Linked DNA regions of Oryzias latipes. The protein of the gene in region 2 purifies or fractionates together with the protein of the main gene of each other region. This does not show direct contact. Links are inferred from orthologs where the notes say so. Each region holds a gene or a part of one and is shown on either strand. Other genes may lie near its edges.

Region 1 (4,151 bases), on a different chromosome or scaffold from region 2:
AGAGCCCCCCGAGAAAGCGTGGCGTCTCCCACCAGAGCCCCCCGAGAAAGCGTGGCGTCTCCCACCAGAGCCCCCCGAGAAAGCGTGGCGTCTCCTCAGCTCTGACTGCAGAGGACATGGATCTGCTGAGCAGCTACTGAGGGAGGAGACGCAGGCGGCCGTGCAGCTTTCCACAAAAGCAGAGCAGCCATCACCGGAGGCACAGAAACACCAGACGCGTGGAAATGTTGGACCGTTGTCATTTTATTATTGCAGCTTAACGGCAGGAGATCCGAAAGGATAGAAACCAGGAACCACTGCCATAAATGAACCTTTAGATCCGAGTCACAAACACGGACTGGGGGAAACGCAGCCGAGTCGCTGCTGAAGGAATGCTTCTTCCGAGATGTTTTTAAAGGAATAAAATCAGAACAGAGACTGTCATGTTTATTCTGACTCGTCATTAAGAGAACACTGAAGCCGGAGAGCGTTCCTCTCTGTACCGTCCACATGGAGATCTTCAGAGCCACATCCATAAGCAGGTTTTACTGAGCAGGAGGAAACATGTCAGAATTCAAACCTTTAATAGAAATAAAATAAAGCAGGGAGCTAACAATGAAAAACCGTCTTCACGTCCACCACCATGTCCTAATGCCTCAATCATATAAAAACACGTTTGTTTCCCTGAAGGTGAGATGGAGGAAAGACACTCGATAGAAAACAGCCATCAGCACTGCAGGGTTAGAGCAGAAGTTTCAAATCAACCACGTTCTCTTCTGCACAGCAGCGTCTAAATGCTGGACCGGTTCAGGTCCACCTTGGTAGGGAGGGGTCCTGCCTTTTCATCCAGCCCTTTGGAGGTGATGATGAGCAGAGAGGATGCTGGGTAAGGGGTCAGCTTCTTCTCTGGGAGATGCTCGCTGTCTCCATAGATGCTGAGTTTCTGTAGAAACATTATTGAGGCTTGAGTTTCTACCAACCCTCACTAAGGGTCTGCAGGACATCAGGTCCCTCCGGTCCACCGACTGTTTGAAAAGCTTTTGGAGAAATGACTCAGTGATCCATTGATTTTCTATAGTTTCTATTCAAACCCAATGGAGAAAACTGTATTTGAAGAACAACCCGTCCCTTCTCTCAGAAAACATTTGGGTTTGATGCTGCGGCAGACCTACCTCTGAAGGAACATACTGGTCCACAGCCGTCGCCACGGTAGCACAGCAGATCCAAACGAGGACCAACACCGACAGGACCAGAGTGGTGGTCAGGATCCATCCAGGCAGCCAGGGGTTCCTGCAGAGAGAACAGGAACGGTGACCCAGCAGATCCTCGGTGTCGCACCGTTCAGCTGACGGTGCCGTCTCCTGGTGACGGGCCCGAGCGTGCGCACAAACCTTGAGAGACAGCTGAAGAGGTTGTATTCGTCGTAGAAGCTCTGGACGCCGGTCACGTCTCTGTCTCGCTCCTGGATGAGTGCGCGGTCGTATTCCCTGTAGACGGGTCTGCCGAGTCCGGGAGCTGAGAAACCAGGAGATGGTTATGCGTGTGGGAAGAGCAGAGCTCGGCTGTTGTGGCGTTCAGAAGCTAGAAGTCCACCTCCACAGAGCCCCCCCCCCCAGAAATGACACGCGCCACACAAATGAACATTAGAGCCATAAACACGTGGAGGCGGTTCTGCACAGGAACACATGGATGCGTGTAGCGGGATTCTAACAAAAAGGCCGACCTGTGAGCTCTGGATGAGAGCTGTGCGTTCACTTAGATCAGGGAGGCTTACAGATCTGCTGCAGGTCGTCTTCAGCTCTGCTGTCCGGACCAAACCAGGGGAAAACCTTCACCTGAGGTTCAGCCTGTTGGGCAGAAGAGCTGCTTTCCATGACCGGGCTCACCTGGACAAAGGCTAACGGCGCGACTCGGCTCTCACCTGGAAAATGACCACTTTTCCATCATCAGCCTGGAGGTAAAAGGTCCAGGTGGAGGTGATGAGGCTGTGGGCCTGACTCATGACGTCATCCCAGAAGCCTCTGACCAGCGTGAGGGGGTACAGGAGGTGGATCCTGGGCACCATGATCTCCAGCTAAGAACACAGAGACAGGCGTGCGGCTGCAGGTGAGGCGTGCGGCTGCAGGTGGGGCGTGCGGCTGCAGGTGGGGCGTGCGCCCGCGCGGGTGGAGTTCGTTACCTGCTCGTGCCTCTGCTCTGCGAACGGAAGCTGGTTCTGGCAGCCCAGGCTGCAGGCAAACTGCTCCTCGGACTGGCTGTAGGCCTCCTGGCAGGCTGCGGGTCAGCAGAAGCGTTTAGAGACATCACCTTTTCAGGACTACCTGGCTGGATGCATCGCGCGCGGGGAGCCGCGCTCGTGCGGCTCGTCTTACTGGCTTCACATTCGGACTTGGTCCGGTTCAGATCCCCGCCGTCACGAACGAACTGGCAGATGGAGAAGAGGCGGCAGCCCCTCCGGCAGGCGTACAGCTCCTCCTCCTGTGGACGGACACCGGAGCGGTTACCGGGGGCGCTCAGCGGCGGAGGCCCGCCCCAAACAGCGACATCGCCAGCCGCTCCGACCGAGCCGCCGTCCCGACACTCACCCGCGGGTACGTATGCAGACTATAGGTCATTTCACAGGAGCCGCGGCAGGACGCGGTGCTCCCCAGAACGGTTTCAAACACGTCCGAGGCCGCGAGCGCCGCGAGGCCGGAACACAGGAGGACCAGGAGTCCGCAGGTGAGGCTGAAAGCGGAGAGAGAAACCATTTTCTCTACGAAAACAAACAGGATCCGCTTCCCAGTCCTCCTTAAGCGCTCTGAAGTCTCGTCCCGATCCGAACTCTCGCGATGCTCAATGTCGCGTTCACGGAGTACTGGAAAACGTACAACAGTGATTAATTAAAACCACTTTTAGACGCTTTTTAAAAAATTGTTTACTATTTTAATTCCCATTTCAGACCCGTTTGTAGAATATTGAGGGAGCTGGGGAATTTTTAAGACATCTTTAACATAAAATACAGACAGAAGCCATAACAGTTCATGGGAGGAGCATGAAGGCAGCTGTGGTGAGAGTCACTGATAACAGAAACAACACAGAACAGAAACATGTTCAGCTTTACTGTAACGAAGTATTTAAAAGTATTGCTGGTAAGATTTCACTCTTCTGTTATGGTTGTTGATGTCAGCATTCTCTGTCCGTCTCTGATCCGTGCATTGAGCATGATGCTGGTGATAACCATGTCATGCCACCAGCAGAGCCGCTCAGGTTCATTTTTCTGACAAATCCTGCATTTGTGCTTCAGTTCAGGCAGCAAATTTACCGTGGATGTAAGAGGATCCCCTCTTTCTTTTTTTCTTTTTCTCACGAGTAGATGCAGTTACTTTAACCCGCGTTCTGGAAGCAGATGAAGACAGATGAATGGATCAAAATACAGCTTAGGGTTTGTTTTTTGGAAGGAACGGACATTAAAATAAACTTAAAAGCTCAAAAAGTTGATTTTGCATGGTAAAGACCTTGTAATATCTCAAATTATATTACAATTGTATGTTATAATTGATTAAGAATATAGATATAAGATGTAAGGAGATAAGATATCTTTATAAATGTTTAGTTTGATCTTTATTGTCTTTTCTTGTTTTTATTGCTGAAAATGGCTTGAATCAATAAAAAACTTTTAACATTCGATTGAATTTAAAAATTGTTCTGCCCCTTAGTATGATCAATGCTATGTAGCCTATTTTTATCATCAATGGGTATTTTAATTGTCTTGTATATGCATTTCCTTTACTCATGTGTTGAATGTTATCCTTAACCTTTAAAGGCAACAATAAAATATAACCACAGATGATTTTTGAGTTCTTTTTGTTGCATGAATGCAAATGTTTGTATGATGTTTATCATTAAAAACAAAATGATTATCCGTAGAAAATGTTTAAAAAAATAAAATCTTTCAAGTAAACTAGTTTCTAATAAGGTAATATGAATGCTGCTGGTTTCAGTTACCATTGGTATAAAATAAACCTTGTTCATTGTTACTTCAGTGATCCACTGTTTGCAGAAAGAGTAACAAAATACACAGATTTCCTTTATTTAGCACCAACCGTTTCTGTAATTTATTACTTTAACTATAAGAACTTTTAACGTGCGTCCTCCCCTTTTCTCGCGATGTTTTATCATGATTGAATGTG
Region 2 (4,046 bases):
GTTACAGATGTTTCACCTGTGATCTCACCTTCTTCACGGCTCCTTGGCCGATCAGCTTCAGCTGCCGGACGTCTGCACGCACCTGGGCACACTGCAGCCAGGCTGCGCAGCTCTTCATGCTGGAGATTTTAAAGTGTCCTGGTCTGCAGGCGGTCTGAGGGTAACCGGCCTGCTCGGCCGCGCCCTGCAGGGAGTCCACATACAGGTAAATCACCCCAGTGCTGACGAGCAAGGCAGCAAGGCAGGTCATGAGTCCAGCCAGACTAAGGGAGGTTCTGCTGCGCTGGCCCGACAGACGGCCCGGCATCCTCTGCAGACACAAAAACAAAAGTAAGTGGAAACCAGAGAACGGAGGCTTAATTCTGACCAATGATTGGCTGCTGTCATCTATTACTCTACTCTTGGAAGGGATTACTGCTCAGCAGACTCTGCTCTCTTACTGAGGTTCTTGTGAACACGTGCACGTGATGTCTCTCTGCAGATGTGATGGCAACACGTGGAAGCTCCGCCCCCTCGGGGCTGCAGCTCCCAGCAGAAGAGGTCACTGCTTTAGAGGAACAACAGCAGTCAGCAGACAGAAAGATTAGGTCCGGCATTCGTAGTGGTCCAACACGAACACATCAGAACCACCAGAACCAGCCTCAACCTGCTGACTCAAACACCCACAAGAATGCTGAGGGTTTCTATCAGAACCATTGAGAGCTGTTCTGCGGGTGAAGCGGACCGTGCAGCTGATCCAGGACCAGATGTGACCTGCAGAAGCAGACTGCATCATTCTACCGCAGTGGCGGTCGGCAGCGAGTCTGCGTCTGCGCAGATGACAGAGGGGTGGATGGATGGATGGATGGATGGCTCCCTGCGGCTCCGCGGAACGACACGCGCTTTCACCGCACAACATCGACGGACATAAATACGCCGTCGCCAGGTAACGCAGTGACGTCACTCACCGCCATGTCAACAGTCTCCTCCCGCTCTTCTCCTCTTCAGTGTGCTCGCACTCCCGATCCAACGTGAGTTTTTCTCCTGGGTCTCTCATGATCCGGAAAGCTCCACGTACGCGCGTGTTTCTGGCATATCTGCCCCCCTCGGCGCGCGCGCTCACGAGCAGCTTCTTTTCTGCTATGGCGCTGGACGCGCGCGGGTTTCTTCGAGGCTGCAGCGCCCCCTGCTGGGCTGGTGGTAGAAGAAAGGCTTCATCCAATGAGCGATATAACTCATTGGCTTCATCCACCTGCACCACCCGGACCAGGGGCAGCCTGTGCCCTGCTTTTAGTCTGAAGGCAGAACATCAGGAACCTCTGGGACATCAAAGAACCTCAGTGTCCACGAGAAATGATAACGTTTACAACAGTTGTGGCAAAGGTGTAAAATCAACAAATGAGAGTCGGAACAGACGGAACAGAAAACATAGCAATGCTAAAGGGTCAATAAGAGAATTCACAGTAGGCCAAGTAAATGCATAATATAAGATAAAAAGGGGATATAACCTATAGACATGACAAGAAGCAGTTACAAATTAGGGATTATCCATAAACTGTAAATGACACATGAAATTTATAGCAGTTTTCTTTTCCATGATGGTAACAAATGAAAAAAGATGGTTTGGTATTAAGGAAACATTTGTGTATGTCCACAAAAACGGCCACTCCACGGTTTGTTCCGGTAGAAACAACATAAAACACGAGTGGAGAAACCATCAAATATGATGAAGAGCTTCGGCGTTTCCTCAGATGGACTGTGACTGTTGTTCATGCAGGAGCTCAAAAAGCTCCACAGATGGTGTTCTCCTCGTTTGCTCTCTTGTGATACAGAGACGGTTTGATTTGACTAAGAACATGAAGAATTTGTTTTTTCCTGCTCTTTGCTGAAACATTGTGATGAAGCTGCGATCCTTCAGTTCATCTCTGCGTTTCCTGGACAACGGCTGCAGTTGTGAGGACGTCTCCTCTATAAAACACGTTTCACCTCCAGAGCAGATGTGGTTTATTCAGCTGTTGTGTAAAGACTGCATGTCATGTGAGGTTTCTCAACCACATTTCTGACTTCTCATCTCAGAGGAGTTGGGAGAGTTAAAATGGTCATGCGAGGTCAGCGATTTGGTTATCAGCTTCCTCGCACACCAACATTGCTAGATAAAGAGGAAGCAGGTGACTTACGCTGCTGTGAGCTGATTGGTTTAGAGGGAACCTTTGGTGATGAAGCAATGACTCAACCAGAAAAACCCAGATGACAATGTGAAAAAAGTATACATTTTTATATCCCTTTCACATGTGTAGATATTTTACAAAACCTTCTCTTTTGCCTGTAGATTTGATTTTCTGTGTTGCTGCCAAATAAACACAAGTCTCTTTATTGTTTTTTCCCTTTTGAGTCGCTATGTTCTTAACCCCCTTGACACCTATTGATGCATATTTCTGCTCCAAAATTACCTTAGTTTAGCATCTACTTGAAAGCATAAACATGTGGTAAAACATCTGGAAAAAAATTCAGGGTTAGGGGCTTAAGCGAAGAGGACATTTCTCTTGCAGAACTGGGACCTCTTTGAAGTCAGTTTTCAAATCCATCTATTCTTTATTTTAACACTATTGCTACTTTTTTTTTGTTTTTCGGTGAAAGAAACGAGTAACGAAACATTCCCCAAAACATAGTAACAGTTCATTTCAGTGTGAATTTTGATTTTTGACAAATCACACTGTAACATTTATGAGAATTAAACTTCACATTCCCAATTTATAGATAAAGAGGTGCATTGTGGACATAGGCTGATTTATTTATTTACTTTACTCATTTAAAATGTCTGAAAATGTCATGGTCTACAATGAAACAAAGATATATGAAAATACAAAATTTTAACATTTTCCTGGATCATATACATTTTCAAAACAGTTGTCATGAATCATTCCAGATTAGAGTCCTTTATCCAATCCAATTATTCAGAACTCGTGCTTTAAATTAAATTTGGATTTAAACATTGAAATCGGTCATGCTTACTAAAGACTACATTTTTAGGTTGTTTTTCTGGTTACAAAAAAAAGCAGAAAATAAGAGGAAAACTGTCAACAAACAGCAAATAAGATGAAAACTGTCAGTTAACTAAATTTCCACAGAAAGTTTCAGACGTTTTGCATGTGAGTGGGTTCCGATCCGACTGAGTGTATTGTATTTTTTTTATTTATTACAGATAATCGAACCATTGTAACTGTGAAATGCTAACGATGCTAGCTAGCACTAGCTGCCGCAGCGGAAGCTGCTTTTATTCTGAAAACAGGAAGTGCTGGCGTCACTGCTGTTTTCAACAGACCGACGTCACAGGCAGAGTGGACGTGTGCGCAGACAGGTATCAGTTTGAACGTGCCTGTGGGACGTTGGTCCTCGAACTGGTTTACAAAGAGGCGCGAGCTCTTGTTCGTTTCCGGTTGCACGGTTCTGTTTAATTATCTGTCAAGAAATCGCGGAAACGACAAACCGAGGAGCTAAACGCTAGCTAACCTTGGGGAGCTACGTCACACAACAGCTCCGCATCCTGATCCTCTCCTCCTCTTCCTCCTCAGGTACGGCTCAGGTGTGTTGCAGCGCGGGTACCGCTTTCTTTTCCCGGGTTATCCCTGCTGATCGTATTTGTTCCGGTCCGGTTTGTTGTGTGTTCTGTGGTGTGGTGGTTGGTTCGGCTCCGGCTCGGTCCCCCCTCCCACTCCCACCCCCCACAGCGATGAGTCACCGAGAAGCGGATCGTGAGAACCGCTCTGCCTTCGGTCCCCATCGATCCTCACTGAGCCTCGCTGTCAGCCTTTCGGGTCCCCGGGGATCGGAAGGTCTGTGGCTGCGGACGACTTCCGGTCATAAACGAAGTTGAACTCCCTGCTGCTGCAGATGTAAACCTACTGTCTGCTGCAGATGTGGACCTGCTGCAGATGTAAACCTACTGTCTGCTGCAGATGTGGCCCTGCTGCAGGAGAAGTATATCCAAAACACAGGAGAAGAGCGTTTGGACTCTCCAGAGATCAGGTTTCGCTGCAGGCAGAACCTCTGAGCTTCTACAGTTTCTT

Evidence for each region. The genes of interacting proteins can lie anywhere in the genome.
Region 1: the proteins of pomk (region 2) and tmem59 purify together in Homo sapiens (affinity purification with mass spectrometry; 3 studies listed by BioGRID and IntAct, with this or other methods). This does not show direct contact. The link is inferred for Oryzias latipes from reciprocal best matches to the Homo sapiens genes POMK and TMEM59.

Annotation. Positions count from the first base shown.
Region 1 is NC_019875.2:30,980,302-30,984,452, reverse strand, and holds tmem59 (transmembrane protein 59), read right to left. Parts: upstream 2,801-4,151; 5' UTR 2,730-2,800; coding exon 2,565-2,729; intron 2,458-2,564; coding exon 2,352-2,457; intron 2,254-2,351; coding exon 2,159-2,253; intron 2,054-2,158; coding exon 1,901-2,053; intron 1,827-1,900; coding exon 1,754-1,826; intron 1,495-1,753; coding exon 1,371-1,494; intron 1,270-1,370; coding exon 1,152-1,269; intron 923-1,151; coding exon 770-922; 3' UTR 226-769; downstream 1-225. Other genes in the region: lrrc42 (leucine-rich repeat-containing protein 42), read left to right, coding at 1-140.
Region 2 is NC_019870.2:26,977,461-26,981,506, forward strand, and holds the start of pomk (protein O-mannose kinase), read right to left. Parts: upstream 2,801-4,046; 5' UTR 954-2,800; coding exon of another isoform or gene 948-953; 5' UTR 597-947; coding exon 441-596; exon of another isoform or gene 311-440; coding exon 29-310; intron 1-28. Other genes in the region: pam (peptidyl-glycine alpha-amidating monooxygenase), read left to right, coding at 3,207-3,337, 3,552-3,562. UniProt on the Homo sapiens protein: Protein O-mannose kinase that specifically mediates phosphorylation at the 6-position of an O-mannose of the trisaccharide (N-acetylgalactosamine (GalNAc)-beta-1,3-N-acetylglucosamine (GlcNAc)-beta-1,4-mannose) to generate phosphorylated O-mannosyl trisaccharide (N-acetylgalactosamine-beta-1,3-N-acetylglucosamine-beta-1,4-(phosphate-6-)mannose).